2 linked regions of the Mytilus edulis genome follow. Each later gene encodes a partner of the first gene's protein in a complex. Links are inferred from orthologs where the notes say so. Each region holds a gene or a part of one and is shown on either strand. Other genes may lie near its edges. The genes, in order: rab3 GTPase-activating protein non-catalytic subunit-like and rab3 GTPase-activating protein catalytic subunit-like.

Evidence for each region.
Region 2: the proteins of rab3 GTPase-activating protein non-catalytic subunit-like (region 1) and rab3 GTPase-activating protein catalytic subunit-like are in contact, whole or in part, in a cryo-EM structure (PDB 8VYB), measured with the Homo sapiens proteins. The link is inferred for Mytilus edulis from reciprocal best matches to the Homo sapiens genes RAB3GAP2 and RAB3GAP1. Residues at the interface, in NP_036546.2 of Homo sapiens: Arg197, His198, Pro199, Gly200, Ser276, Pro277, Phe278, Asp279, Met281, Lys282, Ser285, Asn286, Ile287, Gly289, Phe290, Asn291, Ala292, Ile294, Arg377, Phe378, Gly379, Leu380, Pro381, Asp382, Arg385, Cys395, Thr397, Leu398, Arg407, Arg415; in NP_036365.1 of Homo sapiens: Thr19, Ser21, Trp23, Glu24, Glu142, Ser143, Asn146, Leu147, Leu149, Ser150, Ser153, Ile154, Ile169, His170, Trp173, Arg174, Met176, Arg187, Asp189, Glu191, Met192, Val193, His194, Leu195, Arg196, Pro199, Tyr202, Ile211, Ser214, Lys215.

The regions. Positions count from the first base shown.
Region 1 is NC_092346.1:83,354,914-83,372,263, reverse strand, and holds the start of rab3 GTPase-activating protein non-catalytic subunit-like, read left to right. Parts: upstream 1-9,086; 5' UTR 9,087-9,162; coding exon 9,163-9,271; intron 9,272-12,908; coding exon 12,909-13,094; intron 13,095-13,410; coding exon 13,411-13,489; intron 13,490-14,633; coding exon 14,634-14,681; intron 14,682-14,920; coding exon 14,921-14,996; intron 14,997-17,350. Other genes in the region: DNA repair protein XRCC3-like, read right to left, coding at 8,972-9,032. UniProt on the Homo sapiens protein: Regulatory subunit of the Rab3 GTPase-activating (Rab3GAP) complex composed of RAB3GAP1 and RAB3GAP2, which has GTPase-activating protein (GAP) activity towards various Rab3 subfamily members (RAB3A, RAB3B, RAB3C and RAB3D), RAB5A and RAB43, and guanine nucleotide exchange factor (GEF) activity towards RAB18.
Region 2 is NC_092351.1:29,043,865-29,060,770, reverse strand, and holds the start of rab3 GTPase-activating protein catalytic subunit-like, read left to right. Parts: upstream 1-8,189; 5' UTR 8,190-8,240; coding exon 8,241-8,255; intron 8,256-16,226; coding exon 16,227-16,279; intron 16,280-16,906. Other genes in the region: neutral amino acid uniporter 4-like, read right to left, coding at 1,628-1,809. UniProt on the Homo sapiens protein: Catalytic subunit of the Rab3 GTPase-activating (Rab3GAP) complex composed of RAB3GAP1 and RAB3GAP2, which has GTPase-activating protein (GAP) activity towards various Rab3 subfamily members (RAB3A, RAB3B, RAB3C and RAB3D), RAB5A and RAB43, and guanine nucleotide exchange factor (GEF) activity towards RAB18.

The sequences.
Region 1 (17,350 bases):
CATTTATGGAATATTTGCCACTGGAAGTTAAACAACCAACAATCAATCATCTTATTACAAAATTTAAAATATGCCTGAGCGATAATATTCTTTTAAATTTTAATGTGAAAGACAGTTTCTCCATTTATAAGAAGGCACTTCCAGGTCTAATGTTAAGTGTATCTAAATCCCGGGATTGAGATTTATTTACTATACTAGCAAAAAAAAAAAAGAAAAGAAAAGAAATGATGATACGTTTTTTTTTTAATAATTAAATAATTAACGTTAAAAATATATGTAATTAACTTGATCTAAAACTTGACCTCGCTCATAATAGAGAATGTTAAAAATCAATCGTGTCGACTGCACGGGATTGTCCAACGGCGGGAAATACCCTGTAACTATAAACACAGGTGATGTTACTGACCGATTGTGGAATGTCAATTAAAGGGTTAAAGTGATGTGTAATGATTGACATTATTGTGCGCTTGAAAGTTGAGGCTCTAGTAGGTTCATTTCAATTGATAATCGAAAATCGAAAATCATTTTTTTTCAAATCAACGATGAAGTTTTGGATATTATGGAAGGGATTTTTTTAAGGACAACGGAGGTACCTTAAAAGTCAATAGGAAAATATACAAATAAAATAATATAAAACAATTTCGAAGGTCACAACTTGTATCTTATAAATCAATGATAAAGCGACTTCATCAGTATTAACAGTTATAAGATTGCAATCAGATGACTTTCAATTTTGTTTGTGTTTCAGGAGTGGGAGTGTATAAGATTACCTTATATTACAATGTTTGTTGATATTGCTTGACCCTTATGGGTGTAATTTTGCAATAAAGATTAAAAATATATATTTTGGATGTTCCATTCTCAGCATTGTTTCTGGTCTTGTCTGTTCGTTTGTTCGTTCGTCCGTCTGTCCCGCTTCAGGTTGAAGTTTTTGGTCGAGGTAGTGTTTGATGAAGTTGATATCCAATCAATTTTAAACTTAGTACACATGTTCACAATGATATGATCTTTCTAAATTTAATGCCAAATTAGAATTACCTCATTTCCTCAGTCCACTCAGGGACTTTCTATACTAATTAAAGATAGTCCTTGGTCTGTTAAACATAGAAAATGATAGTGCGGATTGGGCATCCGTGTATACTAGTGACACATTCTTTTTTTTAATTTATTAAACTTGTTCTCAGTGGCAGATCCAGATTTTTTTTTATATATAAGGAGAGGGGAGACTAACTGATAATGTCATGAGAGGACCAGCTCCAGTCATTCTCAAGTGATTCCCTATATAATCAATATTTATTTTCAACAAAAGGGGGCGGACACCGTGTCATTCCCCCTTTATAGCCGACTGAGAAACTCAAAGGGCTGTTTAGGCAGTCTATGTCGTCAAAAGCTTCTATGCGTTGTATAGCCAGTCATTGAGTCAGTGTCGTTAAAAACCTCCATGATATCAATCAATCAAATCAAGACTATTAAAAACTCTCATCAACGCCATTCCCCACTAAATCCGGCTCTGGTTCTATTAATTTCATTACTTCTTCAACATACTAGTATCGGGAGCATGTGAGTATGGTAGCACTCCGTAGATAGGTCTGTAGTTTTGCATGTATGACACTAACAGTTGGCCTAACGTATTAGAAGGCCAGTGTTGGAAGGTTATTCAACATTCTGTGGCTCAATTGTAACTATATTTTCTGTGAAGTGCTACCTAAGCCGTGGCCTGGTGAACCCTACCCATTTTTGTCAAAGGATTTTCCAATAGCACATCGAAACACTTCCAGCATTCTATATTTTTTTTCACCAAAAAAATTGTACCTCAGCATAATACAGGTCATGAGGTACATTTGTTTGAGGAGGGGGTTTCAATTACTGTTTAATTTCCTGTTACTACGAATTTTCGGGATTTTTTTTTCATCAGATTTGCCCTGTTGTCTTTTCTTTTAACTCCGTGTAAACCCTCACACGCGATGTTTACAGAATTATTTGTTTGTAAAATCAAATTTGTTGTATTACCTCTTTTATCAAAATAATATTTAGTTAGCTTTATTAGCGCCTTTTCAAAGTCCAAGCATTGAACATTGCAAACACATATAAATATTTTCAAATGAATTAGAAAATATCTTCCCAAATCGACAGAGAGATATTTGCCACTGGTCTTTACCCAGTTAACGATTCACTCTTAAATGCATTTCTCAAAAAACGATGGGAAACAGAAAAAACCAGACTATATCTTTTGGATAAACAGCCAAGGACATTTCCAGACATGAATATTACTGCATGGACCATCGCTTAAAAGTTTTGTGACAGAACAGACTTACAACTTTACTATAGTACATGTACAGTGCTTAGAACTCTCATAATTTTACTCCAGTTTACATAGTGCATTATTTTATGTTTTATGATAACAGAACTTTGTTTTATCAAGGTTTATCATAACTCGTATGGTTTTATGATAACTGATTTCTGAGGAATATGTTTAATAATGTAAACTTTATTTAAAGATACGTTTTTTCCAATTGGCGCTAAAGAAAAGCACCATATGAATATTCATGAACCTACAACGATTGCTCAAAATCGTGATTTAAAAATCCTGTTTGTGAGATGTAGATTCATTTTAATACCGAAATTTCGTCTATATATTAAGTTTCACAAGTGTATAACACGGAGAAGCTATCAGAAGGTACATTACTTCCATTTTGTTTGGGTGTGAACCATCGATGTTTACAGCAATATCAAAGAATAAGATGATGATGGTAGAAAGAACTATGGGCGTCATGTGGCAAATATTACATGCATATCGGACCATGAGTTGTCAATCTGTATGAAAAGATTTCCAATACAAACATATTATTGAGAAGGAATGTTAACATGCTCTCGTACTAGTATTACAGGGTTCTTGTGTCGTTCACCTTAGACACACATCTTTTTAACGATGTTTAGGATAAAAAAAAAGACAGAACCAATTTAATGTCATATATCCCTATTTTTTAATATAACTATAACAAGAATACCCCTATTAAGCGGACAAGCAGTTTATTCTTTTTTCTGTTATTGAATATTGAATACCAAGAAGGAAAGTAAATCCCGAAATTAATTTGAAACTTTGATACTCAATAGTTTTCCAGCAAAATATTCACAACCCTTGGGGATAATTAGTGATTGTCCAGTGGCATGTATAACATGCATGTCGGAACAGGAAATGTTGCATAATGTACTTTCAGAACCATGTTCACATCATTATAAATTATAGCCAACAATTGAGACGACAACTCCTTCCTTTGTTCGAGAACAATCTTGTTGAAATAGAAATCTGTGATTTTACTATGTCCATAACTTCGATGAACCCAAAGCAAGTTAAATATCGACCTGTATTTAATTCAAATAAGTTCTCTTCTTCTTCTTCGTCCATCGACATCCCATGATAACATACTCAGTCTGTTGTCATACGAGGACTAGTTTATTTACAGAACTTTTAACCCAAATAAACAAAATGTATGTTTCTTTCTTATGTTCAATGTAAAAATGTATATAATTTTGAATTGCAACTATCTATAGTTCCGTAACTTTCTATCAAGGCGTATTAAAGAATGGTCGAAAAGTGCGTATATTTTTGTTAAATCAATATTTCTTGTACGTTTCAAACTGTCCTTCACTTTTGAGAACGAGTACTTACATTTCCCCAAATTTACCCTTGGAAAAAATGTGAAAACAGATTTTTATTTTATCAAATCTTTTTTTTTTGAATTATTTAGATTTTTATAAATAATATTCTTTACAACAGAAATGTAATTTATAAACAAGCTTATGCGTTTAGTAATGACTAGTATATCGGACACGCAAGACAGAGATTTATACTATACACCTGATAGTTCAAAAGTTATCGGTCGTATACACTGATCAATACCCTTAGAAGTGAAGCGATGCATGAACTTGCAAGTCCGACAGGAAATCGCTTGAATACCTGAACGTGTCACCTCACAATACATTTGGGAGTAATACCTTTAGCCATGCTGGTGATCAGACAAGGGAAGGTACAAATTTATTTAAATAAGTTTATTACATAAAAGAATTATGAACAAATTAGATTTTCGAAAACAATTTTCACGGAACACTTATTTACGCTCATTTATGACTTTGAACTATGACTTTTTCACCAATTCCCATATAAACAGTTAAGTAGACAGAGACATCAATATCAGCCCAAGGGCCTTTAGGCCCGAGGGATGATATTGGTCGAGGGTGATACGGCATATGATACGGATTTTGCCATGTATTATTCTCTATATATTATACATATTATATATTATACATATAACAGTATTTTTAAAATTTTTTTTTCATATATATTATACATATAACAGTATTTTTTTTAATTTTTTTTCATACATATATCACTAAAATTCAAGCGACTATGAATTCACGAACACGTGGCTGTTGACACATTACACACAATATACTTAAAATACCTGGGTCAATTTACACTTCTGGTTTATTGTCCCTTTAACCAGCCAGTGTATCTGTGTGTGATGTATTTATCTACCGTGCAAGGGTTGTGCAGCCAGTCAAGGTCGTTAAATGTATCTCTAGCTCCATTGACAGACTCCCATAATATATTCGAAAGCGGATTCCGGATTTTGAAAAAAAAAAAAGAATGTGGAAGGACGTAAAGACAACATTACAAATTGGACTAGTGTACATGCAACATTCAATCTATTTCTTGTGTGACAGTTTACTGACTGTCAAACCCGTGTTCAATTTATTATTTTGATATGGTTCCATCATTCGAAAATAAGTTATTAAAATCTCAGTAGGCTAAAACAAACTACTGGATTTTACCCACAGAGTGCAACAAACACAGGTCACGGAAATGGTTTCTACTACTTCAAACTTTGGCAATCTAAAATAAAATCTAATCAGTCAATTTTACAGTATCACAATTTCATGTAACAGAAGAAGATAGTGCCTTGAAGATAGCTGAGTAAAATAAATATTTTTTTAAACAAGATATATGTAGGGAGCTCTATTTTTAACCAACCCGCGCATGAACAGATTCATTTTTTCTTGTATTTACTTCCTGAATGACACAACTCTAGAAATGTTTGCCACTGGACATCAATTTAAAAATTAAATAGAATCAGACAGTCAGGCTCGAGCAAAAAACCTTGAGAACGGAACTTTATAGCAAGATATATACTATAGTGTATACAGATTGTATTTGAACACATACGAGGGTCTTGAATATTGTCTTATAGTTGTAAGTAATTTTTCTGTAGTCTTCATATTTTCCCCCATTATTCTATATTCTTTGTTTTCTTGGTGTCTATTTTATTTACTTTTTTGGCCCTTTGTTGTGCACTTTTTGTCCATATATATTCTCTCTTCTTCTATATAAATCCTATTCAAACCCTTATAAACATACACAATCAAAATGTTCAACTCAAAACCCCAGTTGACTTGTCATCCATGGAGTTTTTCTCAACCGTTGAGAATATAACAAATGCTAAATGAGTCCGTTTAAAAAAAAGATGTGGTGTGATTGCCAATGAGAAAACTCTCGTTAAGAGACCATATGCCACAGAAATTAACAACTATACATGTAGGTCACCGTACGGCCTTCAACAACGAGCACAGCCCATACTGCATAGTCGGCTATAAAAGGAGAAAAAGTCTAGGAGTCCATTACTGATATTACATATATATATGATTAATGTATCACGTATACGTCTGATGCTTAGTTGTTGGCTCTGCTGGAAGGCAAAATATTTAGCTCTTTACTGACTAGTATTTAACAACTGAAACTAGATAAGTTATGAAAATCAAGGAATCTATACATGCTATAACAGCAAATTTAAACGGAACCAAAACGCAAATTAGTAAAATAATAAGTATACAACTAGCATTTCAGCATTTTAATATTGGTAATTATTAATGATTTAATGCGTAAATAAGTTATCCTACACAGTGGAACAAATGGGAAGCCAAAGTACGTTAATGTCTGGATTAATCTTCTGCAAAAACAATGTCATTTTGTTTATTTTATCTGGTTAAATCTTCTGACATCAGACTCGGACTTCTTTAGAACTGAACTTTAAATGTGCGTATTGTTATGCGTTTACTTTTCTACATTGGCTACTAGAGGTATAGGGGGAGGGTTGAGATCTCATAAACATGTTTAACCCCGCCGCATTTTCCCGCCTGTCCCAAGTCAGGAGCATCTGGCCTTTGTTAGTCTTGTATTATTTTAATTTTAGTCTCGTGTGTACAATTTGGAAATTAGTATGGCGTTCATTATCACTGAACTAGTATATATTTGTTTAGGGGCCAGCTGAAGGACACCTTCGGGTGCGGGAGTTTCTCGCTACATTGAAGACCTGTTGGTGACCTTCTGCTGCTGTTTTTCTATGGTCGGGTTGCTATCTCTTTGACACATTCCCCATTTCCATTTTCAATTTTATTTCAATAAACTGACTTAAATAAAATTTAAGCAAGTTAAACTGTAAGCTTGCCGCCGTTGATACCCCCGCCGAAATATTTCAGTTCACAGGAAGTTGTTGAGAAATGAATCTGAAAACGCACCACACGGTACAACTTACTTGCATCAACCCTGTAACCAAATTGATAGATACGAAAAAGATAGATACGAAAAAAATTTACTTAAATAAATGTTTACATGTAATGTATGACGTACTTAAAATCATCTTTGTGTAAAGAAACGTTTGAATTGGCTGATCTTTTTGTAAAGCATGCTATTTTGACGGTTACGGATTCAGACTCATTAAAGATGCAAACGATGCAAACGGCTATGCTCGCACATGTTTTGATCATTTCTTTCAAACACATACGTTTGCAAAGTTTACATAAACTTTGACAAACTATGCAAACGCTAAAAATGCGTCTGCAGTTTGTCGTTTGTTAGTACAAACGCTGCATTTTTTTCTAACTTCAACCTGATTAAACGAAGTATTTGTTTCTACGTTTGTAAAAAAGTCTGATTACTAACAACATGTGCATGCATTATTGAAAATTCAAACAGGGTCATTAAAGATTTATCAAACGATGTATTTGTTTCTACTCGTGTAGAAAACAGTAACACACGCGACACAACGTTTACAAAATTCTTGTTAGAAAGAAATGCGGCCTAAGAAAAATCTTGTTACAATCACAAGAAGTCTTGATAGGTCGTAAAATAAACTTCCCATCACTTTATTCTTTTCACATGTCAATTTAAATAAAAAAATTCGCAACGATGTCATAATTGAAAGCACGAGGAAGGCTGGCCAAAATGTTCAACTTGCGGCTAGTGATTGACAGGTATGATTATATCTTGGGGCTCTTGTGGGGAGCGTGGTGTCGGACGGAAAAAAGATTTCCAGTATTCATATATATATAAATGTCGATCTAATGTGGAAAATTGTGAGGTTTTTTTTAATAGCACAAAGAAAAAGACGTTAGAAGAGTAACAATGTGTAACTATAAACGAATTACTCGTTTATAATCTACGAGACTGATCAGATCGAAGTTTGATAAAAAAAAAAAAAAAAAAAAAAAAAAAAGCATTCAATATCAAACCTTCTTGGTTGGAGAAAACATGTTCAATGTATACCTGCAAATATGTCTTAATAAATTATATTGTGTATTTAAATTATCTCCATTGAATACAATACAATTTATTAAATGTATCTATGATATCCTCCATAAATAAATATCTGAACAGGTAAAGTTAAATTCGGATCAACAGATTGATTTACGACCTTCCGCTTGTCCATGTTGTATTGCAAAAATATCACAGCACTGCAGGTATTGCTCACATTAGACAAGTGTCAAATCAGTATGACATAATGTCGGATTACGGCATCTGCAGTAATTAAGAGTCTGTTTTTACAGGAACTGATTTATCTTAACATGACAATAAAGAAGAATTTTGTAAGGTGAACATATTTGTAGTATTGCAAAGTTACCACGTGCATTTTCCTGTTCATTGGTCACATTTAAATAGATTATTCTTTATTGAACTAAATTCGATATTTAAATTGCAAGTAACTTTAATATCAAAACCACCGCTTTTTATTTCTCGACTGAAAAGGGTAATAAGACGGTTATTTTTATCTGACTATAAACAGTGTATATAATCACAACGATCTATTAATATCCGTTGCTCACAGATAACGGATTATACAACGATCTATTAATAACCATCGCTCACGCATCACTGGTTCTATCACTGACTCAATACACACCAGTTTAATCGGACAAACGGATAATTCCCTGAGACACGCGGATAATTCCCTGAGACACGGAAAATCTCCGGAGAACCGCAAAATATTCTGTAAAACAGAAAATTTACGATGAACCTCTATTTATTCTCCGTTCCGCGTAGATTTGCCAAAAATCGCGGTCATTTGCCAAATAGGTCTACCAGTGTATATAACCATGTATATGGCAAGCCAAAGTGGACAAAAAGAGCTATTTTTTAATATTAGAAAATGATTTTTTAATATTAGAAAATAAAATCATTTTAATATTAGAAAATGATTTTTTAATATTAGAAAATGATTTTCTAATATTAAAAAATCATTTTCTAATATTAAAAAAATAGCTAGAAAAAATCATTTTCTAATATTAAAAAATAGCTCTTTGTGGCAAGCCAAAGTGGACAAAAAGAGCTATTTTTTAATAATAAAAAAATCATTTTCTAATATTAAAAAATCATTTTCTAATATTAGAAAATAGCTCTTTTTGTCCACTTTGGCTTGCCATACATGTGAATGTGTTTGTGCTAATAAATAGTGTCTGTTGTCTATATAAATATATTAAAGTTTGTCATGTCAATGAGTTAAGGTTATGATAACTGTCACAGTAAATGTTGATACTGATAGAAATTTTGGTTTCTGAATAGTTTAAAATTTGTGTGTGTGTCTCCTCCAATAGAAATTTTAAACTGACCTAAAATCAAATCTCTTAAAAAAATATTAACCTTTTATCAATGCATGAGTAATTCTTGGATTAATGTCTAGTTGTGACAGTTGTTCTGACATTTACTGACAGTATTTTAGAAAATACCAAACTCAACATTTCCCGCCAAAACCATATTTAACTTCCGTTTCCGTTTCGGAACGTAAACATTGATTTTCATTTGAGACTTTTAAAACGATAGAAATACAAACCATGTCATGCCAGCTCTCTGTATTTGCTCATTTCCAAGAAGTCTCATCACTAAGAGAATATCTCTTTCCCTGCTTAAAAGATGAATCGACACAGAAAAGTAACAGTGGTGGTGAGACTGTTTTGTAAAATAAAGGGGGGTGGGGTACATAATCGAGACTGTTTTGTAAAAAGTGTGTGGGGGGGGGGGGGGGGGGGGCTACATTCGTAGGTCACCTCGGGTCCATTTGCCCATAGACGGTTCGTCCTGTTCGACTACATTTTAAATAAGAAAATACGTTCGTGTAATTAAAATCGTATAAAATTTATGAGAGAAGAAAAAAAAAATCATTTTAGATTTATGTCTAGTAATCTGACTGACCAAGGATTGGTATAGTATTTTTATGGTTTAGGAAGTAATCTGTAGGTTTGTACATACAACCCGTTCTGGCTACATCAGTTCTATGTAAATATTGTAAGTAAGGTAACCGGGGCCAATATATGTTGAGTAAGCTTAGATAAGACAGAATGTCAACATTCTGTTAATTGCTGGTATGCCTTCCTACAACATTGAAGGAAGGCTTCTGAAAAATAATTTCTCATAATAATTTGTTCTTCATGTCGAGCTGATTGGCGTCAATGTATTTCTTGCCATTAGTCTGCCAATTCCTGCTATTGACCCTGCAATCAGAGATCCCAATAAGCTGTCTCCCTTAAACGCAGACTAAAAATGTTCCAAATCACCAGTAATAAAATTGCCATTCCATAGGATGACATTCAACATTTTGTCCAAATTGAAAGCAAGGCAAACACAACTAGTGAGTGCTTCAAGGAAAAACTCACCAGAGAAATTCTCCTTGAAAATTACCCATACCTACATGCATAATTCATAATTTTTTTTTATCTTATTATCTATTATGAAAATAACAATCTTTTAATTCAAACTAAGAAAAAAAACCACATCAAACAATTTACTTACTTACTTATAGTTACTTATAGTTGATTTCCAGTACAGGATCCCTCAAGGTTCCTCTTCACCAGACTCGTAACTTAATGTGTTTCTTATACTATTTTGACCGTGACTTCCGGATATTTCTGCTCTATAGTCATTATAGTATAATTCTTCGTCTAACCAATATTTGTCTAGTCGATTTTTGAATGAATTTATCGATGGTGACTTTGTTATTTTATCTGGTAGTTTGTTCCAGGTTTTAGCAATTCTAACAGAGAAAGAGTGTTTACGGATATTAGATTGGAATCTTTGATGAACTACTTTATTACTGTTGGTCCTACTACTACATCTTTGTTGAGAATCTTCTGCCTTTCTTAAAAATGAGCTAACTTCTTTGTCGTAGTGTCCGTTCATTGTTTTGAAGGTTTCGATCATGTCTCCTCTTATTCTCCTATAGGATAATGTAGGTAAGCCTAGTTTTTTTAGTCTCTCTGGGTAGCTCATGTCTTTTAGCCCTGGTAGTTGTTTTGTTACCCTTCTTTGAACACCTTCTATTTTGTCTATATCTTTCTTTTTGTATGGGGACCAGACTGAGCTGGCATAGTCTAGGTGTGTTCTAACCATGGTTTTGTATAGTGGCATGAATGTCTCTATTCCCAGGTATTTAAATGTTCTTCTAAGAACTGCGAATATGGAGTTTGCTTTGTTCACTTTTTCACTAATGTGGTTTTCAAATGTGAGTTCTGCATCAATGAGGACTCCAATATCTTTTTCCTCTTTAACTTGTGCTATAGGATGATTTAGTAGGTTATAGATTGGTGGATGGTCAGTGCTATTAGATTTCTTACTTATTTTCATATATTTACATTTTTCTGGGTGAAATTTTAGTAGCCATTTGTCACTCCAGGATTCCATCTTATTAAGATCTTCTTGTAAAATTTGTCTGTCATTTTGTGTTTTAATTATTCTGAAGATCTTAGGCCAGGATTTTTTAATTTGTTGGTTTACGGATCCGCCGACCCGATTTTTCCGATTTCCAGAATAAAAATAAAATTGACTTTTCATGCTTTTTTATTCCCGCCGACCCTAGCAAATGCATTATCCCTGAAAAATAATTAAATAATTTTTTTTTATGAAATGAAATGCATTAATCACTAACAAAATTGATAACACTTTCTGTTGTGAAAAAATAAAACTTCCAGTTTACGTTTCTAAAAATAGACAAATCAATTATAACTGACCTTGAAATGTCGTTTGCGCAAATAATATTGCGGAACGAAACTTGTTTTTAAAACCAATTACACAATAAGTTCGTTTCCCTTATTTGTCATCAGTCCGTAAGATCATCATCTCATAGAAATAGACTTGTCCAAATGTGGACAGGGTAAAGGCATCAAGTTGAAGTACTGAATATTAACAAATCATTTGGAATTTTCTTGTTTCATAGATAATGAAAAAATTATCGTCCATTTGGATAAAAAACGGGAATGCGAGACAACAGATTAACCCGATAATCTCGTTTTCCAGTGGACGAGTCTATTAGGTTTTTAACACGTGTGTTGAAACTTATTTTCGTACGACGTTTTTACATTTTTTTCTTTATCAGTTTTCGTGCTTGAAGATCATTATTCACCAAGTTTTCAGGAATTGATAAAGAGCTACGCGAATTTATTTTTCTTGTTTCTGATATGACGATTTAATTTCGTCTTTGTCCGTGCACCCCCCTTTTTTTTACTGTAATTTATTGGACAATGTCATGCGATGTTTATAACATTTGAGCAATAATATTTCATCGAACTAAAATTTAAGAAATGATGATAAAATAGCATAACAAACATATTGTTAGAAAGGTGAAATATATATTGATTTTGCATATTTTTCTGTCTTCAAAGATGATTTTTTTTCTTCTTTTTTTTCCCGACCGACCGACCCGACTTTTTCATTGGGAAAATCCGTAAACCATCAAATTAAAAAACCGTGGCCTTAGTGTCATCTGCAAATAGGTATGCATCAGAATCTACTTGGTCTGGGAGATCATTTATATATAAAACAAATAGTAGTGGTCCTAATACTGATCCTTGGGGTATCCCAGATGTAACGTTAGCCCAGTCTGACTCTTCACCATTCACTACGACTTTTTGTTTCCTATCTTCTAAAAAGCTTAAATTTACTTTCACATCTTGATTCCATTGATCTAATTATATATAATTTCTAACCAAAACTAATGGGGATATGGTATGATGGTCAGATGACAACTATCCAAAAGCCCAAAGGACAATGAATGAGGTTCCTGAACATGATTACGTGTTTAGCATAACCAAGGATATTAATACTTTTGAAATATTTTTCCTGGCTGCAAACCTTCAAGGTCCCTTTCAATAATTTTTAATTACAATATTTATTATTTATAATATATTGTAGCATCGATATCATGATTATACAACACAACAAACAAATAAAACAAAGAAGAATATTATTTATGGGTAAATGGATGTGGGCGTAAAAGATACAGTAAATGGGCAAACTGACCACAGTTCCCAAGACGAACAAGTAAAATCTCATTCCTACTTGTCATAGAATTGATAAAACTTAGGAAAATGATATGTTTTACATTTCACAGAAACATATATAGATTATGTTTTCTTATTGGAGTAAAATGTCAAAGTTGTTGATAAGAAAGGTTTTAGGAAAGGCCCCTATAATATAAATACATTAATTTGCTATCTTTGTGTCAACGGTTTTACCTTTACATTGTTCTCTAGTCATTTACAAATTTATGTTAAGAAAGTATTGAAACCATAATGTTATATGTTTGTAGGAAATGATGCCTGGACTGAGGATTGGAGTTGGAATGAAGATGAACCGATGGAACAAGATGACTCAGACTCATCTCAGTCAACCGAGGAGAATAAACACAACTGGCTACAGGATTGTCTCATATCCATCTCACCTGCTAATGATCTCATGGCTGTGGCATATGGTGACAAACTTGTCCTGCTCTCACGTATGTAGGCTTTACTTAAAATAAAATTTTGAACCATAAACTATATGCTTAGAAAATAGATTTTTTTTAAAGTGAATATGAGCCATAAAAAAGTGTTACATACAATTTATCGCATTACAAAGTATTTGTAAAGTAATTTGAAATTCAAAGTTGCACTACTTAATTTATTTTTGCACAGCTTTTGATAAACTAAGCTACAATTCAATTTACATGTACATGTATACATCATCAGTGACTTTATAGTTTGCTAAAACCCTTCCTGTTTTCATTTACTTTTGTAGTAACTTTTTCTTCATGACTTTAATATATTTAACAGAAAAATGGGATCCTGGTGACACAGAATCAGAGACCAAGTTTTCTATGAAGTATAAAGAAAGTTTGAAACAAGATGAAGGGTATGTATTAATTGTTCATTATCACTGAACTAGTATATACATGTATTTGTTTAGGGGCCAGATGAAGGACGCCTTCCGGGTGCAGGAATTTCTTGCTACATTGAAGACCTGTTGGTCACCTTTTGCTGCTGTTTTTTCTATGGTCGGGTTGTTGTCTCTTTGACACATTTCCCATTTCCATTCTCAATTTTATTAGAATAGATCATGTGATTTTGCCCTTCATCATGTTATCAAAGAGGTTAAAAAGAATCGAAGGCCGTAGAAAAAGCTTAATTATGGTTGTTAATAGTAAGGCATAGAGGTGGAAATAGTTACTGTATATATTATATTGGTTAAGACTAAGTGATTATGTGTGTAAAATACTTTTTAGTTTGGGTTATGTTTATTATTCATATGTTTACATAGAGAATAATACATGGCAAAATCCGTATCATATGTCGTATCATCCCGAGACATCAATATCAGCCCAAGGGCCTTTAGGCCCGAGGGATGATATTGGTCGAGGGTGATACGGCATGTGATACGGATTTTGCCATGTATTATACACTTTATCATATATTTCAACAGAAGAGTATTATATTATATGAACTGTTTTCTGATCCATAGCACTGGGTTACCTTCAGTTCTACTTTTGTCTTGTTTCGAAGGCCTTAAAAGAACTGCTCAATTACTTATCCGAAGCACTTGGGTTACCTTACAATTTGCGTGCTGTTGTTTTTAAAATATTTTGTTTATTATTGTATTAATTTGTGTGCTTTGTATTTTTCATAGTTGCATTTTCGTGACGTCACATACAATATGAAAACTCGATGTTCGTGACGTCACATACCAAACAATGACGTCATTCAAAAAATTTATCTATTTTGAGGAAAATTTTTCTTAAGCCAAAAAAAAAACCAAACTGACTTTATGTAAAAAAAAAAAAAAAAAAAAAAAAAAAATTAGGGGTGTGATAAAGGGTAGGGGTGTGATAAAGGGTATGCGATAAAGGGTGCGCATCAAAGTTGCGCGATATGGATTAAACAGCAGGCTATTCATCACATATGCAAAACTACTGTATTTACTACTAAACATATGATAAAATGGTTTAATGACTTGATTTTGTCATGCAGTAGGACTATTTTGTTTTATATTTTTATTATAGGGAAACCATAACAGCTGTTTTGTGTCTGCCATTAGCCTCTCAGAAAAGGTAATGAAAACTGTCTTTGCCTTAGTTAGAATATTATAATACATTTTATGATTATATAGATATAATTACTGGATGAGATCTGAATTAAAGTATTTAGTACAATGTATTAAAAAAATGTAGATTCTTCAACATGTTAATCTGCTTTTAGTTTACACACCACATAAAAATAGACTTAATTATTTTTTTTGTTAGTTACATTTATAAACATGGGTAATTTCTAATTTCTTTATTATTTGTAGAAGTACACAGGGTGCTCCAGACTGGACATGTATTATTGTAGGATTTTCCACTGGGTACATCAGGATTTATACTGAGGTAAAATTGGGGTATTGATTTCTGTGTTGTTGGATCTTTTTGGTACTTGTATCTAAAACAAATTATAGCAATGCCTGCCAACTGAAAAACTTGACTAAAAGCATTTTAGATAAACAATAGGGTATGATCGTCGAATCACCCAAAACTTTTGAAGTTGCACATAGGAAGTAGTGCTCATTAGGAATTCTTATGTAATTTGTTATCGCCTGTGCTTTTGGCTAAGATGTCAAAAAACAATTGTACGAAATATTTAATCGCCGAAAATAGGGTATGCTACAATTTTTCTTGCATATATAAACAATGTAAAACAAGGATTTAAAAGAAATAAGCTCTCCAATGAGTTTATTTGACTGGGCTTTCTAATCATAGGTTTTCTTCTAGTTCTCAAATAAATTACATTTATATAATTATTTTTATGCAGTTAATCTGCATTATGCGAGCACCCTAGATTTGTGGTCTACCCAATAAATGCTGAAATACTTGCCATTGTTATTATCTAGCTGGCTACTATGTTATATATAACTAATTGAACACTTTTTTAATACTTTTAATTCTGGATTACAAAAAATATGACTAGAAAAACCTTAAATGATCGTCGAATCACCCAAAACTTTTGAAGTTGCACATAGGAAGTAGTGCTCATTAGGAATTCTTATGTAATTTATTATCGCCTGTGCTTTTGGCTAAGATGTCAAAAAAACTGTTCATGCTGTTGGCGGCAATTTCAAATTAGAAGACGAAATTCGTATCTTTTCAATTTGGAGCCGCAGGGGTTCAAATTAGCGGTGGTCCGAGGTCCGCGACCTTCCACTTTCGACTTGGTTACTAGCCACGCCTGACGAGTCTTCCACTCTGAGACAACTATATCACAGTTATAGTACTCTCAGTTCGACTTGAAAGAAAATAAAAAATAGCTTTGCAAACCTTTTCGCCAAAGTCTCCAAATAAACGATCTCAAAACTTATTTTAATCATTATTATTCATGACAGCGATGTCAATTTTGTTCAATCGCTAGCTATATACAGAAAATCACCGACAAAAAATGTGTTAATACGAGTAAAATCGTATCTGACTGACAAAAACAACATTGAACACAATATGACAATGGCTGCCGTGAAAAAGACAATTACAATTTCGGATCCGATTCCGGAAGCGGATAAGGGTAATTCCGGGTTTTTAGCGAATCCAGACAGTTGACAAAATACATCTATGCATGGTAAATGAATATAAACACTAGAATTGAAAACCAAACAGACTATTTATTGTTCTCAGAATCACCGAAATATTACAAATCTGACAAACATGAGAGAGTAAAATAGAAAAGAAATATTATTAGTACTAAGCAACTAATATGTTAACTTATTTTTAGCTCAAAGAAATTGATATATGTAAAAGAAAGAAAAAGCAGAAAATATTTTAAACAGAAACTCAAAATTACTTTTGACAAATTTTAATGTCAAAATCCAATACAATGTGACAGCTGGGAACAGTATATCTAACAATATATATGTTCCTGGTCACAGTATAAATTTTCTTTATCAGTGATAAATGTTGATAATGCATGTAAGATGCTTTTAAAGTGTAAACATATTACTGCAATTTTGAAGGGGTATTTTTTTTTCTCAATTTTGAAGGGTCAGTTAAAGTAGCTGGAAGATTCTTACCTTATTTTCACAAATAACTACCTGAGTCCTGAGTGTAGGCAAATCATATGATATATAGGTGGCGTACTTTGGGCCACTCTACCCCCTCCTGTTTGATAACTTTGAAACGGATGAGATCCCCACCTCTCAACCATATACATTCATGTATGGGACTATATATATAACTAATCAAATGAAATATAAGGGGAGTCCATGGGGTGACCACCACCTCCTGTTTGGGAACTTACGAAACGGTCGCCTGAGATCCCCACCCCTAAACAATATATATTCATGTATGGGTCAATATAACTAATTAAATGAAATATAGGGGGAGTCCCCCTACCCCCTCCTGTTTGAGAACTTGGAAACCGATGAGATCCCCACCCCTAAACCATATATATTCATGTATGGGACAATATAACAAATCAAATGAAATATAGGGGAAGTCCCTGGGGTCAACCTACTCCTTCCTGTTTGAGAACTTGAAAACCCTCAAGATCCCCACCCTAAACCATATATATTCATGTATGGAACAATATAACAAATCAAATGAAATATAGGGGAAGTCCCTGGGGTCAACCTACTCCTTCCTGTTTGAGAACTTGAAAACCCTCGAGATCCCCACCCCTAAAACCATATATATTCATGTATGGGACAATATAACAAATCATTTACATTTACTATGGGCAGGTCAGTCAGACCTCACCTTTG
Region 2 (16,906 bases), on another chromosome or scaffold:
CGAGATCATTTGATAAATTTTGTTAAAATAATGCTTATCATTGTTAAATTATGTAATCTACATACTAGTATACAATATGTGAGTATAGCAAATACAAAATATAATGCTTTAGTTCCTAACATAACATAAAGATGTGTTTCCTGAAAAATCTAGTTATGAAAAACCAAATGTAAAAAAAATATTTATACCGTAGTTTGACACACCAAAATCACGTTGACGTGTGTATACAGTGTTTAAAAAATATGGAAAAGGGGAAAGAATACAATGGGAGCAAATAAACGCTACAACTGGAAGGAGAGGGACAAGGCCATGACTATGCAAAAATAAAACAGACGATAAAATGAGCAAAATAAAAGAAAATCAGACAATACCATGGCCAAGCCTAAAGAAATACAGACAGTGCCATGACTAGGTCAAAAGAAAACGGACCAAGTCAAAAGAAAAACAGACAATACTATGACCGAGCCAAAAGAAAAACACAAAAAAAAACATGACCAAGCAAAAGCAAACACAGACAATACCATGACCAAACCAAAGGGAAAACCCGACAATACTATATGACTATGTCAACAGAAAAAGACAATACCATGACCAAACCAAAAGAAAAGAAAAGAAAAACAGAAAATACTATGAACCAGTCAAAAGAAAAACAGACAATACCATGACAATGGACAATTCCAAAAGAAAACCAGATAATACCATGACAATAGACAATGCCTAAAGAAAAACAGACAATACCATGACAATAGACAATGCCTAAAGAAAAACAGACAATACCATGACCAAGCCGTAAGAAAAACAGACAAAACCATAACCAAGCCAAAATAAAAACGGACAATACCATTACCAAGGCGAATTAAAAACAGAAAAATACCATGACCTACCCAAAAGAAATGAGACAATATAATGAGCCAGCCAAAAGAAAAACATACAATATCATAACCGAACCATCTGAAAGTTCTAAGTTCAGTATTTTTGTGATTTTACTTTTTAGTTTTTACATACAATACAAAGACAAAGCGAAAGAAAAACAGACTTCACCATGACAAAGCCAAATGAAAAGACATACAATACCATGACAAATGAAAGAAAAAATACAGAATATACCATGACAAATTCAAATTCTAAAGAAAAAGAGACATTACCATGACCAAGTCGAAAGAAAAACAGACACAGCCATGACCATGCCAAAAAGATAAACAGCATTAACATGACCAAGCCAAAGGAAAACAGACAATATCATGATAAAGTCAAAAGAAAAATAGACTATACCATGACAAATTAAAAAGAAAAAAGAAAAACAGACATTGACATTACAAAGCCAAAAGAAATCGAACAATAACATGACCATGCGAAAAGAAAAACAGATATACCATTACCAAGCCAAAAGAAGAAACAGACAATGCCATGACCAAATCCAAAAGATAAACAACAAAAAGGCAAAAAAAAAACTACACAGGAAACGAAAGATTGGGCAACAGATACCCCACCAGGGGGATAAATGTTGCAGAATGTTGGGGATTTTTCACATCAATATTTTTGAAATCTCAAAACAGTGTGTAAAGTATCGTGGTTCTGGAAAATAATAAATTATCTTATCATTGCATATCTATATTTGTGTACTCACCTCACTTTAAGACTTTTGGCTGTGTCATCTTCAAATGTGAGGGTATTTTGACTCTGTGGTACATACTCGTAACGATCACTTGTCTCTATCTCAGCCGATGAAGTAACGGATAGTGTCTTATCGTCTATAGTTGTTTCTTGCACTGTATGTAATAAACTCCTCTTCTCTCCCGAATCTCCCATATCACAAGATGCTAGATTGCAGTCTAATTATTACAATAATATTTTAGTTTGTGTTGTGTAGTATCATACATATGATTTTTGAAAAAAATACATTACCTGAAATACATTTCATATGTATAGTATGTACATTTAAGACCTTGCCTGGCTATTGAAAATTTCTCAAGATAGTTTCCGTCCATAAACTAGAGGCTCTCAAGAGCCTGTATCGCTCACCTGATTCTACTTGGGTTTTTGAAATCATATAAAAAAATATAAAATTTGGCTAAAAGTGACAACACAACCTCATTTAAATAAGGAAAGGAACATGTTTAATTTCATTCAAAAGTCCCCCACTGGTGGCCATCTTGGATGACGGATCGGCTACAAAGTAACAACACTTGGTCAGCACCTCATAAGGAACATTCATGCCATGTTTGGTTTTATTCCATTCAGTGGTTCTCTAAAAGAAGTCATTTGTATGCATTTCCCATAGGGTCCTATGTTAAACTAAGTCCCCTGCTGGCGGCCATCTTGGATGATGGATCGGCTACAAAGTAACAACACTTAGTCAGCACCTCATAAGGAACATTCATGCAATGTTTGGTTTTATTCCATTCAGTGGTTCTCTAAAAGAAGTCATTTGTATGCATTTCCCATAGGGTCCTATGTTAAACTAAGTCCCCCGCTGGCGGCAATCTTGGATAATGGATCGGCTACAAAGTAACAACACTTGGTCAGCACCACATTAGGAACATTCATGCCATGTTCGATTTCATTCCATTCAGTGGTTCTCTAAAAGAAGTCATGTGTATGCATTTCCCATAGGGTCCTATGTTAAACTAAGTCCCACGCTGGCGGCCATCTTGGATGATGGATCAGCTACAAAGTAACAACACTTGGTCAGCACCACATAAGGAACATTCATGCCATGTTTGGTTTCATTCCATTCAGTGGTTCACTAGAAGAAGTCATTTGTATGCATTTCCCATAGGGTCCTATGTTAAACTAAGTCCCCCGCTGGCGGCCGTCTTGGATGATGGATCAGCTATAAAGTAACAACACTTGGTCAGCATCCCATAAGGAACATTCATGCTATGTTTGGTTTTATTCCATTCAGTGGTTCTCTAAAAGAAGTCATTTGTATGCATTTTCCATAGGGTCCTATGTTAAACTAAGTCCCCGGCTGGCATCCATCTTGGATGATGGATCAGCAATAAAGTAACAACACTTGGTCAGCACCTCATAAGGAACATTCATGCCATGTTTGGTTTCATTCCATTCAGTTGTTCTCTAAAAGAAGTCATTTGTATGCATTTCCCATAGGGTCCTATGTTAAACTAAGTCCCCCGCTGGCGGCAATCTTGGATGATGGATCGGCTACAAAGTAACAACACTTGGTCAACACCCCATAAGGAACATTCATGCTATGTTTGGTTTTATTCCATTCAGTGGTTCTCTAAAAGAAGTCATTTGTATGCATTTCCCATAGGGTCCTATGTTAAACTAAGTCCCCTGCTGGCGGCCATCTTTGATAATGGATCGGCTACAAAGTAACAACACTTGGTCAGCACCACATAAGGAACATTCATGCCATGTTTGGTTTCATTCCATTCAGTGGTTCACTAGAAGAAGTCATTTGTATGCATTTCCAATAGGGTCCTATGTTAAACTAAGTCCCCGCTGGTGGCCATCTTGGATAATGGATCGGCTACAAAGTAACAACACTTGGTCAGCACTCCATAAGGAACATTCATGCTATGTTTGGTTTCATTCCATTTAGTGGTTCTCTAGAAGAAGTCATTTGTATGCATTTCCCATAGGGTCCTATGTTAAACTAAGTCCCCCGCTGGCGGCCATCTTGGATGATGGATCGGCTACAAAGTAACAACACTTGGTCAGCACCCCATAAGGATAATTCATGCTATGTTTGGTTTTATTCCATTCAGTGGTTCTCTAAAAGAAGTCATTTGTATGCATTTCCCATAGGGTCCTATGTTAAACTAAGTCCCCGGCTGGCGGCCATCTTGAATGATGGATCGGCAACAAAGTAACAACACTTGGTCAGCACCTCATAAGGAACATTCATGCCATGTTTGGTTTCATTCCATTCAATGGTTCTCTAAAAGAAGTCATTTGTATGCATTTCCCATAGCGTCCTATGTTAAACTAAGTTCCCCGCTGGCGGCTATCTTGGATGATGGATCGGTTACAAAGTAACAACACTTGGTCAGCACCTCATAAGGAACATTCATGCTATGTTTGGTTCCATTCCATTCAGTGGTTCTCTAGAAGAAGTTCAAAATATAAATTGTTAACGACGACGACGACGACGGACGACGGACGACGGACGCCAAGTGGTGAGAAAAGCTCACTTGGCCCTTCGGGCCAGGTGAGCTAAAAAAGACTTCGATTCTGAGTATATTCCCTTGATGGGAACGTATGATCTTTCTGTTATGTCTTGATTTCTAAGATTTATCTCTTTAAAGTAGCGGTTTTGGTTTGATTTAATTGCAATCGAAGGATTGAGTATTTGGTTAAGAAAATCTTCTAACACAAAGATTTTGTAAAAGTAATTTGTTCTTTTATTAATCAGCTTAACCATAGATAACTAAGCATCTCCTGCTATGCATGCATCGACCATCATTTGATTCCAAAAAGTCATTCAAACCTGCTGAGGTGTTTTACGTTATCCTTTGAACCAATAATCTTATATTTATTGACTAATTTACTAGTGTTCACATTGTTTGTTTTATCATTACATCCTATATTTTTATTTATATACTTTTTGCACTAATATATCATGTGTATGTTTCTTTGAATGCTTATATATGACGTTTTTAGAGGAAATATTTTCACATGTACAGAAATCGGAATCAAAATTTAAGAAGACATGGTTTCATTGATAACAAATGAAATAAGCTTGCTTTCAGTATTTAGTAAACATTCGTTATTATTATACTTTCTGTTAAAATTCCATATTTTCATTGTCAACCTTGGCTTCGCTTTTGACAATGTTTTTTCGGGGTACCAATTTGCTCTATCACTCTCTCAGTACATACCTCTCAGCTATGTGTTATTTATATAATATGACATGTGTAATTTACATTTCAGTCGTGGGGGTTTTTTTTGTTTTTTTTTATTGTTTAAATATGTACAACTCGTCTAAACATCAACCCAACAATGTTAGATCTGTACGAAAGCAAATGTTTGATTCTTCCCTCGCCGGGATTCGAACCCATGCTACTGTTATATCGTGACACCAAATCGCCTGCACTGCAGCCGTCCCGGTAGACCACACGACCACCTGGGCTCTCAAAAAAAGAGCTTTCGCTGGCCGTGTGTTACCTTTCCTCGTCAATTTTAATCTAGCGGCGTACTACAGTACATGATATATAAGGCATGAAGATGTTATTGTTACAGATCAGCTAAATTATCTATAGTAAATGATCCTACAAATTAATGTAATATACAGTCACAGAAAATAATTATATTTATAAGTACGTCTGAGTCAGTGACAACTCTACAACAGATGTATCCATCGGATCGCCATCAATGATGGCGATACATGGCTGTGTACATAATGTATATACAACTCGTCTAAACATCATATTTTTTTGGCAATACCAATTAACTGGTTTCACGGTCAAGTATATAAAATTGACACGGTCTATTTTTGTTAACTTTTATCATTCGGTCATTTTATCCCGTATTTCTATATTTAAACAGAAACGGGGACACAGACATGACAGAATAAGAATATGACTCTGCTGAATTCAAAATAGAACAATGTGTATGATGGAATTCAGAGTGTTTGATATGAGTTGCGTCTGATAGAAATCGACATTAAGCTAATGCAAATGTTTTTGTTTGTGATCTAGCTGAAGCCCAAATCCGGATGCGAGATTTTCTCGCTGTGTTGCAGAGCTGCTGTTGACGACCTTTTGGTGGCCTTGTGCAGTTTTCTGCTCTGTGGTCGGTTTGTTGTCTCTTAGACATTCAAATACGAATTAAATGATCAATGATGGTCTGTTTCGTAGGGTTCTTATAACAACTGAATTTTCAAATAGTTACAAACTTTAATTCCAAATAGATTTTTTAATAACCCGAAATAGGCATTCATAACAATTATAATTTCATTTGCCTATGATCGATTTATGTCCGACGCAGCTCACATTTTAAAAGAGGTTATGAATAACCAAACAGATAGGGAAATGAAAATAAACGTCAATAGCTGTGTCCAATTAAAATGTACTTCTGGTTCGTTCATTCGCCCTATTTTATGAAATATCGTTTATTTGCCTTACTTTCTGAAATAGCATACTTACAAAGTTTAGTAAACTATCCTATATATATATATGTCCACATGACTGTTACGTCAGTCATAACGGATAATGACTGATAATGAGATTTGATATCTATCAGCGTATTATACATTTTGTATCACTACCAATATAAGGTTGATAACACCTGAAATCTTTTCCTTAAGTATTGGAATTTACAAACAACACATTTAATTGTTTAAGAAAGATGACCACTTTCCCGATAAGCAATGGTTATACTTTGTTAACTACGTATCATGTTTTTAATAATAAAAAAACAAGGATTTTGTTGTATCTTGAGTATTTGGTAAGGTTTCACTATCAAACTGTTGGGGACAATGAACTATGTAAACATTAAAGTACATGTGCACTAGAGAGCAGACAAAGCAGGCATAGCATTAAACCGGCCTATTTAAGTTAAAATTAACACAGTTGCACCTCGGACGTGCGCATAGTGATAAATATAAAATAATCCCTATATCAAATGTAGTGCATGCCTTTTTTTTTTATAGTACTGTTCTATAAATCCGAGAAAGCTTAACCTTGACCACTATAAGTCTGTGACAACTAAGGGTAGGTGTTTTGGACACTTTCTAACCATATATGCGTGTATGCAATACCTTTTTCACTTTTGCAGTTCGCTCACATCGAATTATTTCTTGGCAAAAACATATTAAGATTATTTTTTTTTCCAGCAACATCTACTTTTTTGTTGTTGTAGCATTATTTTTTATTCCTAACCAAAGGCCGTAGTTTTGAATTTAAAAATGTGAGGCGAAATTATGTTATATCACTGGACCTGAATGAATAAACGTGATGAAAAAGGATGAACATATTTGAAAGGAGGGAAATATTTCAATTTTTATAGAATTTGCTAATTTCCATATGTATTACCTCAGCTATATCTGTGTATTCCTTACCTTCGTCTTTAAATATTAATCGCGAGATTTTTTTGTTTTAGAAAATTAGAGAAATACAGTTCTCCTGAAATGCAAGCATTGTTTCATACTTGAAACTGACTTAAAATTAAGATGAGGTTGTAAACCCGTTGAATCAAACTAACTTCCTGATAGCAGAATATGATAATTCTTTATTTGCAAAACAAACAAAAAACAATTTTGGCATCACAAATACATAGACAAAAACAAACATAGAAAACTATAATGAAAACAGTAAGTGTAATTGAGGATGTGATCATTAATGAAACAAATGAATGTGAAGTAAAGTTCTGTGACTATTTTAAACGTGGACAGGAATAAATTGTATGATTAAAACCATACTCTTAACCTTAACAAATTTATTCTCAAGTATTTCTTATACATCATTAGCATTCATTTTTTAAAAATTTTTATTTCGAGCTTTATAATAAAAAAAAATACGTTAGACGCAAGATTTTTTGTAGAGATAGTTGTACACAGATCTCTGATTCCAGGGAGTTCTCCATACTGAGACTATAAAAAAAAAATCCAAATCAAATAGATATATTGTTTTAACTTAAAACATTAATCAAACAGACCTAGAAAAGTCTAATTGCACAAGGTCTTCGATCTATTTATATTTATGTTTATGTTAATATCAGGTGAAGTGAATATCGTCAGATTAAGGAGGTCATCTCGATAGTTAATTCGAATTTCCGTCAAATCGGTGATCATGATTTTGACAGCTAGTGCCCCTTTAATAGTTAAGCATAGAATACAATTGTACGGAGTTGCAACTGTTCAGTGTGACTATAGTATGACAGTGTCATACTATATTCAATCTGCCATATCGAAATAATTAAACAGTTTATATAACAAACCATTGATTAAATGAATAGGCTTGAAAAATACAAAATAATATTCCAAATAAGTGACAAATACAATTAACGGATTACAGAATAATTAACACTTGTAACACACATTTTCTGTCAGATAATAAAGTAAGATCATAAAAAAAAGTTTGGTGGTGCTAGATTTCGGTTAAAAGAAGGATAATAATTATAACACAGCAAATGACTCAGATGATTAAAACTAAAAAATTATAATTAAATTACTAAAAATATTGTGTATCTTGAGACGGTCCCGATTGCAAGAAGACCGGAAATTTACCTACAGTTATTTCCCTTTGATAAAGAAACGTCAACAAGAAGAAAGAATGGCATCAGATGAAGTTTGTATTGTTTTCTTTTAGTTGTGTTTATGGTTCAAATATGCATTATTTAAACGAAGTTGCTTTGCAATGATATTAAAGGAGTTGTTTTAATCGCTGATTTTTAAAGACATCTGTTTATGCCACGATCTCAGTTATGATCTGTCAATTTTCATCAGTCCATTAAAATTCTTATTTCACTTTAGATGTAATTCAAACTGAAAAAGATTTCCCATATTTCAAGTGTATTTACTTTCAGTATTTTGATTTAATTTAGAAATAATTTTATTCTGCTAGGCATTGTATAATTTCTATAGGCTATTGGTTGCAGACACTTCATCTGTTCATTTTTTGGCATCAAATGTTTTTTAATTGTTTAGCTTTGATCTAGTCCAAATAATTATGACGTCTTGAAAGGCTATTATAATTTTTTTCTTTGACGCCTTACTTCGCAAAATATGCTCTCGAAGTCCAACCGAAAATGGCGGCTTCAGCATTATGACGTCGAAGTAAGGCGTCAAAGAAAAAAATTATAATAGCCTTTCAAGACGTCATAATTATTTGGACTAGCTTTGATCATGACATAAGCCACTCATGTACAGCATGTACATAGTAACAAAATTATGTTAGAGCCAGTTAGCAAAAAGTTAACCTCTATACATCATTGTTCATGTCTTAGTCAGTTGTTTTAATATGCATAAGTTTACAGGGTTATCTTGTAATGAGATTTCGAAACACCAATACATGTTTTTTTTATTATTAATTAGTTACACCCGTTGACATAGGCGGATCCATGGGGGGCCCCCCTTTCGTGGGAAAAATTTGGTTGATTATATAGGAAATCACTGAAGCATGACTGGAGTGGCCCCCCCTTACATTGTAGGTCAGTCAGCGGGCCCCCCCTTATGAAAAGTTCTGGATCCGCCACTGGTTGACCTGGTGTGAATCAGCTTAAACAGGGTCATTGAATAATTGGTTCTAACTTCTAACCTAATACCATAATCAATTATGACATGTCCTGATTGCTTCAAAGGCAAATTGTAATTGTTTATTTGTTTTGTTATAAAATCATTCCATCTGGAGGCCTTATTTGACTTCTGGTGCTGGGAGGTTAAGGAATGATCTGAATCATAAAATATGATGATTAAAAATATTCAACCATTTCCAACAACCGGATTAAAGGGCTTATCACAAATGTATGTATGCACCTTATTAATCCCTTTTGTTACCCTATAATAATTAAAGTTGATTGCATGTGATCAAGTCTAGGTTTGATGAACAACATTAGGACCTAAGTTTTCTCGTTTGAATTGTTTAACATTTTTCAGTTTGTGACCTGTTATAGCTGACTATTGAAACCAGTATTGAGAACTATAGTTCCTAATTTCTATGCCAATTGGTCTCTTGTCTTGTCATGCTTGTCTTGGAACTCTTGGCAATCATACCACATCTTTTTATTTTCATAATGACATAGATTTTAGCAACTATAGGTCACTATAAGGCAAGTTTAAATGTTGCAATGAGCAGAAGCCTAACTGCTTATATATTTCTATCAAGCTACATGTAAAAAAATCTGACATGATTAAATGTAAAACAAGTCAAACACGAAAACAATTGTTACATAAGGTAAATAATCCAATAATTTCATAATGTATCGTCACTATAAACATGTAAATAGCCTTGTCAACCTTGACAAGACAAGAACCAATATTTGTAAGACAGTTTCCATACATTTTAAGTCAAAGTGTTGACTTCTAAAGATAAATCATTGGATCTACATTTTGTATATTCTATAAGATGAAATGGGTTTGTTCAAGATATAATTAATTTTTAAATGATTTTCTCCAAATGTCTCTTTAGCATATGTTGTTATACATCTCCAGTGAGTTGTCACTACTTTTATATTTCTCTGGATAAATACTAAATAGATAGGTTGATATATTTATTAAATTATATTTAAGGTGGTACCTAACTTAAATTTATTTGACTCGTTTAATTTTCATAAAATTTTGACAAAGTATTTACTTTGACCCTTTGACAAAAGTATAAAAAAAAATCAAAAAATTTGAACCAACCATTTTATCAGAAAAATTACACTGGTTATATAGCAGTTTGACAAACACTTTTTTTAATCATTGAGATGCTTAATATTCCCTTAACAACACAACGTAATTAAAACGTTTAACTGATTTTATAGAGTTATCTCCCTGTAGTGTTAGGTACCACCTTAAACTTAATTTTTGTCTAATTTCATATAAATTTTGTCAGTAATCTCTGAAATGTTTAAAATCTATTATACTACCGGTACATGTACATGTACATGAATACATACATTTGTACTTATTATACCTTACGTATATTTCAAACAATTCTATTGGGTGAAACGTAATCACGTGACATGGAATAATTCAGTTAATTTTCATTCAATTGAAGGAAGGACGAATAACCCTAAAGAATTTACACCAGCGGTGAATAACCCTATTATTCACCGGTGAATAACCTTTTGAGTTTGTTTATTTGTACTTGAGTTACCTCCCATAAAAATGACGTCACAAACGTAAATAAACAAAATGGCAGCGTTCACGTTACACTGGAAGCCCATCGAGAGACGAGGAAATACGGCATTGGACATAGAGCTGAGAGTGGCAGCAGCCGATGATGTCTCTTATAAACGGTCCTTTTCAGGGCCATCAATATTTTACAAAAAAATTCTACTTTTGTTGTATATATTCGAGAAAATCAAACACAAATGTATTTTCAAACGTCAGTCTGTGTTCGAAATGCACTTCCACTGTTAGTTCGGCTGCGCCCTCAATGAAATAACCTTCTCGTGTTGACAATTTTGGATATTCACCTCTTCAACGGGCCATAATTGTATAATGTACTAGAACACACCCGTGATATCGCGAGTCCGTGACTGAATTAAAGTATATAACTTTGCGCAAGCCTTATTTTAGTATTAGTATTGTCATCTGATAAAGTCACGCCGATTATAAGATGCACAGTTTTCTCTGTTTTCAAATCTTTCTGTTTGAACCCGTCGAACTGGAACTTATCAATTATTGGTAATACGTCATGCCCGCTAACAAATTGAAAACTATACGCCTTATTTTTAGTCCAGATGTTTAGTATTCGTATTGTTATCTTAGAAAGTCTTACTGATTAAAATACTACAATTTAGTAGTGTCAATCCTGTGATTATGACCCGTGTATATAGCATATTAATCCTGAATACACCGTTTGGTGGTGCGCCTGTCAGATGCGGAACGTACAGATAAGGTAATAGGTAACAGGTGAATATACTATTGGTATCGGTATTGGACTCGATCCGGAACTTCTTAATTATTGGCAATATTAATTACGTGGAAAACAAAAGGGCTTGGAGTGGTGTAATTTTTAATCTACACCTTTGTACTATATTAGTTATATATAAAGTTGAATTCTTTGATTCGTCGTTTTTACGTGATGACGGCTGACAAATTGGACCTCGTAATTTTAGTATTATAGATATATCACAGTTTTTGAATTTTTATATTGAGAATAGATGATTTAAAAATAAAGTTACCAACTTAAATATTGACTTCACAACTTTACTCTATACAAAAAAAAAAAAATTTAAATTATTTTGACCTGTGCCCAAAACAGGGAAGCAGATGTAGTAATTCAACCTTTTGAAATAATTCAAAGGACCTAATTTGGTAGAAATTTTTCTTCAAAATTTTTTAACATCTGGTTCTTTTTAAGGAAATGTTGTCCATTTCAATATATATAGCAAAAATTGGTAATATTGAAAACAAAATACTGTATCAGCAGGATCAGAAATAATTTTATCAAGATATTTTTTATTTTTTTTATCATTCCTGAGTTTCCTTGTACCAAGGATTTTTTATGACCTCCTTTTTTGTACTATTATAAATGCATGATGTTTAACTATGATGATCATATAACACAATTTGATTGGTACTAAGATTAACAGCTTTGTGGAACTTTAGACTGAAGAGGATTTATACAGTTAGTTTAGTGTCTAGTATTGAGTTTCATCTGTCTCCATTTATACCTTGCAAAATCCTTGGTATTGTCTAACATTAAACTATTTCCCTGACGTCAGTTTTATAATTTTAGCTGTAGGTTATTTTTCAAGAATCAAATCAATTCATAATGTTACACTATTGTTTCACTTGACTCCAATCTTAATTGACTAGTATTGTCAGTTTTTCAATCTAAGGTCTCTGGGGTTTTTTTTCAGCCACTCCGGCTTCCTCCACCAATTATAACTGGCCGCTTCATAATAGCCTTAAAGGGGTGCTTATAAGTGGCGTTAAGACACAGAAAATCATATCAAATCTTATATTTATATAATACCACTTGACTTGATAACAACTGTTGACAGGCCTTGAAAGTGTTTCTGGTGGCTGCAAAGTCTGTGTTGTCTTCATTCAAGTCATATTTTACATTATGACATACAGTATTAGTCTGAAGTTTTTCTTTTGGGAGATATGGGTGTAAATTGGAGGTCCATTTTTTTCCTGATAAATTTATTCACAACTTGTATACTCTTTTGTTAAAAGACAGTTTACAGCTTCACATAGTGTATAGGCACCTCTTTATTGTTGAATAGTGAATGTTGTCCTGTAGATATCTAATGATCATTTTGTTGTTGTTGGGTTGCTGTCTCATTGATTTATACTCCTCATCGCCTTTTATTCCTGTCTATGTTTTCAATACATATGATTTGTATTTTTGATGATCAATTGTTGTAGAACCTTCACCGTATAATCAGATAACTCATTGTTTTGTTTTTCACAGTCAGAACAAAATATAATGACATGATAATACGTTTTGATGTCAGTGCCATGTCATATGTTTATAGAAGTCCTATTTTCCTGTGGAGGATCTTAGGTTTAATGGATGATATCCTGGTTAACACCTTCAATCAATAATTCTCTTGTTAATTTGTCTATCACAATCACTGACAGTGTATTGATTAGTTCAGGTCTGTATGCTAGTGTTACAGTTACACTATTCCCGACAGATGGCTTTTAATAACGTTCTCATATTTGTTATTGTCCTCTTGTTCCTACTGTTCTCTGCAATGTTTACACATTTATTAGAGTGTTGGAATGGGGTTTTGATATCCAGCAAAATCATATTGCTTTTTTGACAGATTCTATATTGTTTACATTGATATACAAAATGTAGTTTTATTGAAGTTATCATAGAAATAATTTTTAATTAGAAATTACCAACAATTATATGGAATAAAACTAAACATAAGTTTGAAATAAATACCTTTATATACAAGTTTATTCAAAAGAACAATAAGTGTCAATTTACAGTTTTCAAATGTACACTGTGACATTCATGTTTTTTTTGTAAAACAGAAAATATTTGAAAAAAATCATAAATCTAAATTTTTTAATGTTCCTCATTGTCAAGACATAAAAATAATGCCTGGAGATTATGTCAACGTTTCTGTGGTCACTGATCTTTGCTTTTTATCTGTAGGCAATAAGTCAACAACATTATAAAATTTAACACATCATAAAGAAATAAATTGACAGCCTTTTAAACTTTTAAAATAATTGTATTCCCTGGTCCAATCATTTAAAAACATTCAATACCTTATAAGACTTCTCAATGATGGTAAATTCATCAAAGAATTTTCTTTTTTAATCATATCTAATTGCTGCAATAAGCTGGTAGGGACACCAAATTTAGTTTCACTTTGTATTTTCATTTTCAAAATTTTTGTCATGTTTGTATACCTGATAAAAAAATTATGACAGCTTAAATATTTTTTTAAAACTTTGTTTTATACATGTTTCAGTAAATACATGCCAGTGTTATTTATATTTCACTTCAAAACTCAAAAGAAATTTTGAATTACAAAAAAATTACGTCAAGAATTTCCCAAATTTATTAGTTTTACAAGGTTCTTATAATTAAATTATCACTTTTCTAATAGTTTTATATGACTTTGCTTTCAATGTGGGCAGTTTTAAAATTTATTGTCTTCTGCAGCCTCCAACAGTGAGCAAACCCAGACTACTATTTAACTTAGCAAGCTATAAAATGCCCTGAAATGACATATGTAAAACAAATGAAACAAATAACTAACAGCTTTATTATGTACATGTAAGTCAAGTTTTTAAAAGTTGCTTTCCAATACATTGTAGTTGTAATTTTGTCTTTGTAATTTAAGTTGCACAGTCATAGTGTCCGCGTTAATGATGTTTGGACCCAGTAGTGGATCGAGAGGGGGGTTCCGGGGGTTGGAACCCCCCTTTTTTTGGACGATCAATGCATTTGAATGGGGACATAAAGTTGGAACCCCCCCCTTTTATCCTGGTTTGGGAACCCCCTCTTTTTAAAATGGCTGGATCCGCCCCTGGGACCAATCAGAATGTCCAATCTAGCAATGTTCCCATGAAGCAACACAATTTCTGATGGGTTCAATTCACAGTTTTGATTGATTGTTGGTTGCTTTGAACATCCAGTGACACAGTTTTGATTGATTGATGGTGGCTTAACATCCAGTGACACAGTTTGGAAAAGCCTTTTGTAAAATATCAGCCAGCCATTTTGATAGGTTGAGTAAAAGCAGTTGAAATAAAGTTTTGTCATTAATAAATAATAATGTGATCACCCATCCAATCCAATGTTTAACATTTCTAAATTGTGGAGGTCTATTAAAGATTTAGCATTGTTCAGATTTCTTTTATGTAATATTAAATGAGTATATATTTTCAATAAATGAATAACCAATAGAATAATAGCACATCAATATTTTAACCCGTCAGCATCCCCAAAGCCTAATTTCCCCAAAAGTACTAAAACTTCTTTTAGTAAGTTATTCTGAATGAATTATTTATTGGTATCCCTTCAGGACCATCTGTTACATAACTAAGTATTTCAGGTTTGAGGGTCTGTATACATGTATAACAGTAATATTCTGATCAGCTGGTGGGATATGTTAAAGACTATGGAAAATACGATACATGTAAATTTAATACCAAAGCTGTAAGTCATCATAAAAAAAATATAGTTGTAATATTGATTGATTGTTGTTTGCTTTACGCTGCATAAGCACAAAAAGGCTATATTGCGGCGAAAAATAGTTGTTATAACATACCTCCTCCACATCAGATATCATTATTTCAAACCCAGGTTTAGAAATACTTGTAGTAAGTTTGGGTACTGACTGTATCGTTCCATTGATGTTTTTTTGAGGCTGTACAAATCATAGGCAAATTTAGGGGAAGGGGTGCAAGTGGTCAGTGCCAGGGCTCTTCTTATTGTGCTACATACATTGTTAATGCTTAAATGCATAGGCTTTTTACATCTTTCCAACATCTAACATTGTCTATCACGGGCTCCCAATTTTTTGGAAATCCTGGATCTGCAAATGCATTTCATCTGAATACATGTCTATTTAAAAAAAAAACTGAAATTATACATTCTGGATGCAGATTATTTGAAAACACATTTTTATTTTGCCTTCTGTGCTTTAGCTCCTTGAACAGGTGGTTCATTTTTTTTTTGACATTCCAGTTTTATTTGGCTATGTATACCTTTAATAAAAGGAAATATACAAAAATATGGATTCATAATCCTGAGTATCATGAAAAACCTCACCCTTTTATCATAGATCCTTATGCCAGTGCCTTAGACATAGAAGACTAAGTGCAACATCTAATATATGTGTGTATTTGAATAATTCAATAACTTATAAAGTACAATCTTCCTTTCATTTATTATTTATTATCAGAAACAATTGATCATGAAATTGGCTTGTCATTTATCATGTTTATGGTGTCAAAAAACTAAAGGTGAAAAAATGAAATTATATATAATTTGTCTTCCAGCTGTATGTACCCTCATTATTGGTTCAATAGCTAACAACCACATGTATCATATTTATTGTTATCTCCTACAATGATGACAGGTGAAGAATGTAGAAGGTAAAATATTTCAAATATTCTTTATTTGTAGGATGCAGATGTTTTTGAAATAACAGATTTTACAACAGCTTCAGATTGGGAAAGGTAAAATATGGATTTTTAATGTTATAGTCTATAAAAGTAGTGAATAAAATAAGATCTGTATTTAAAAGTATTTCAGTTATGTTGATAGAATGTGATAGGAAATATTGGATTGGGAAAAGAGTGTTATTCTAATACCTTTGGAGTTTAGAGTTATATTTGGTTGATTTACTTACAATATTAACTGATTGAGAATTAATGTTTTATAATTCTCAAACCATTGAATATCCTATTACAAATAGCTGCATTATCAAGGTACCACAAGAGTCACCTTTTTTTCAGTTAGGGTTTATTTGTAGTCCATATACACTAGAATTACCAATTTGTCATCATAAAAATTGTATTATAAGTTATTAGTTTACAACACTTCATAAAATGTGTTTGGTTATTCTGAAAATTAAAGAATTATGGGATGCAGGAAAACAATAAAAAAAAAAATTTGGGGGATGGATGGGGGGGAGGGGCTGATTTCATGTAAAAATACATTTTTTTATTGTACATGCATTGTTTTCAGAATGAAGAATATACAGCAAATCTGAAAACCAATCCACTAATTTAACACAAATGTTTGTCTTTATGAGCAATAGCTATCATATTCATATTCTAAATTACAAGATTCAATTTCTTGAA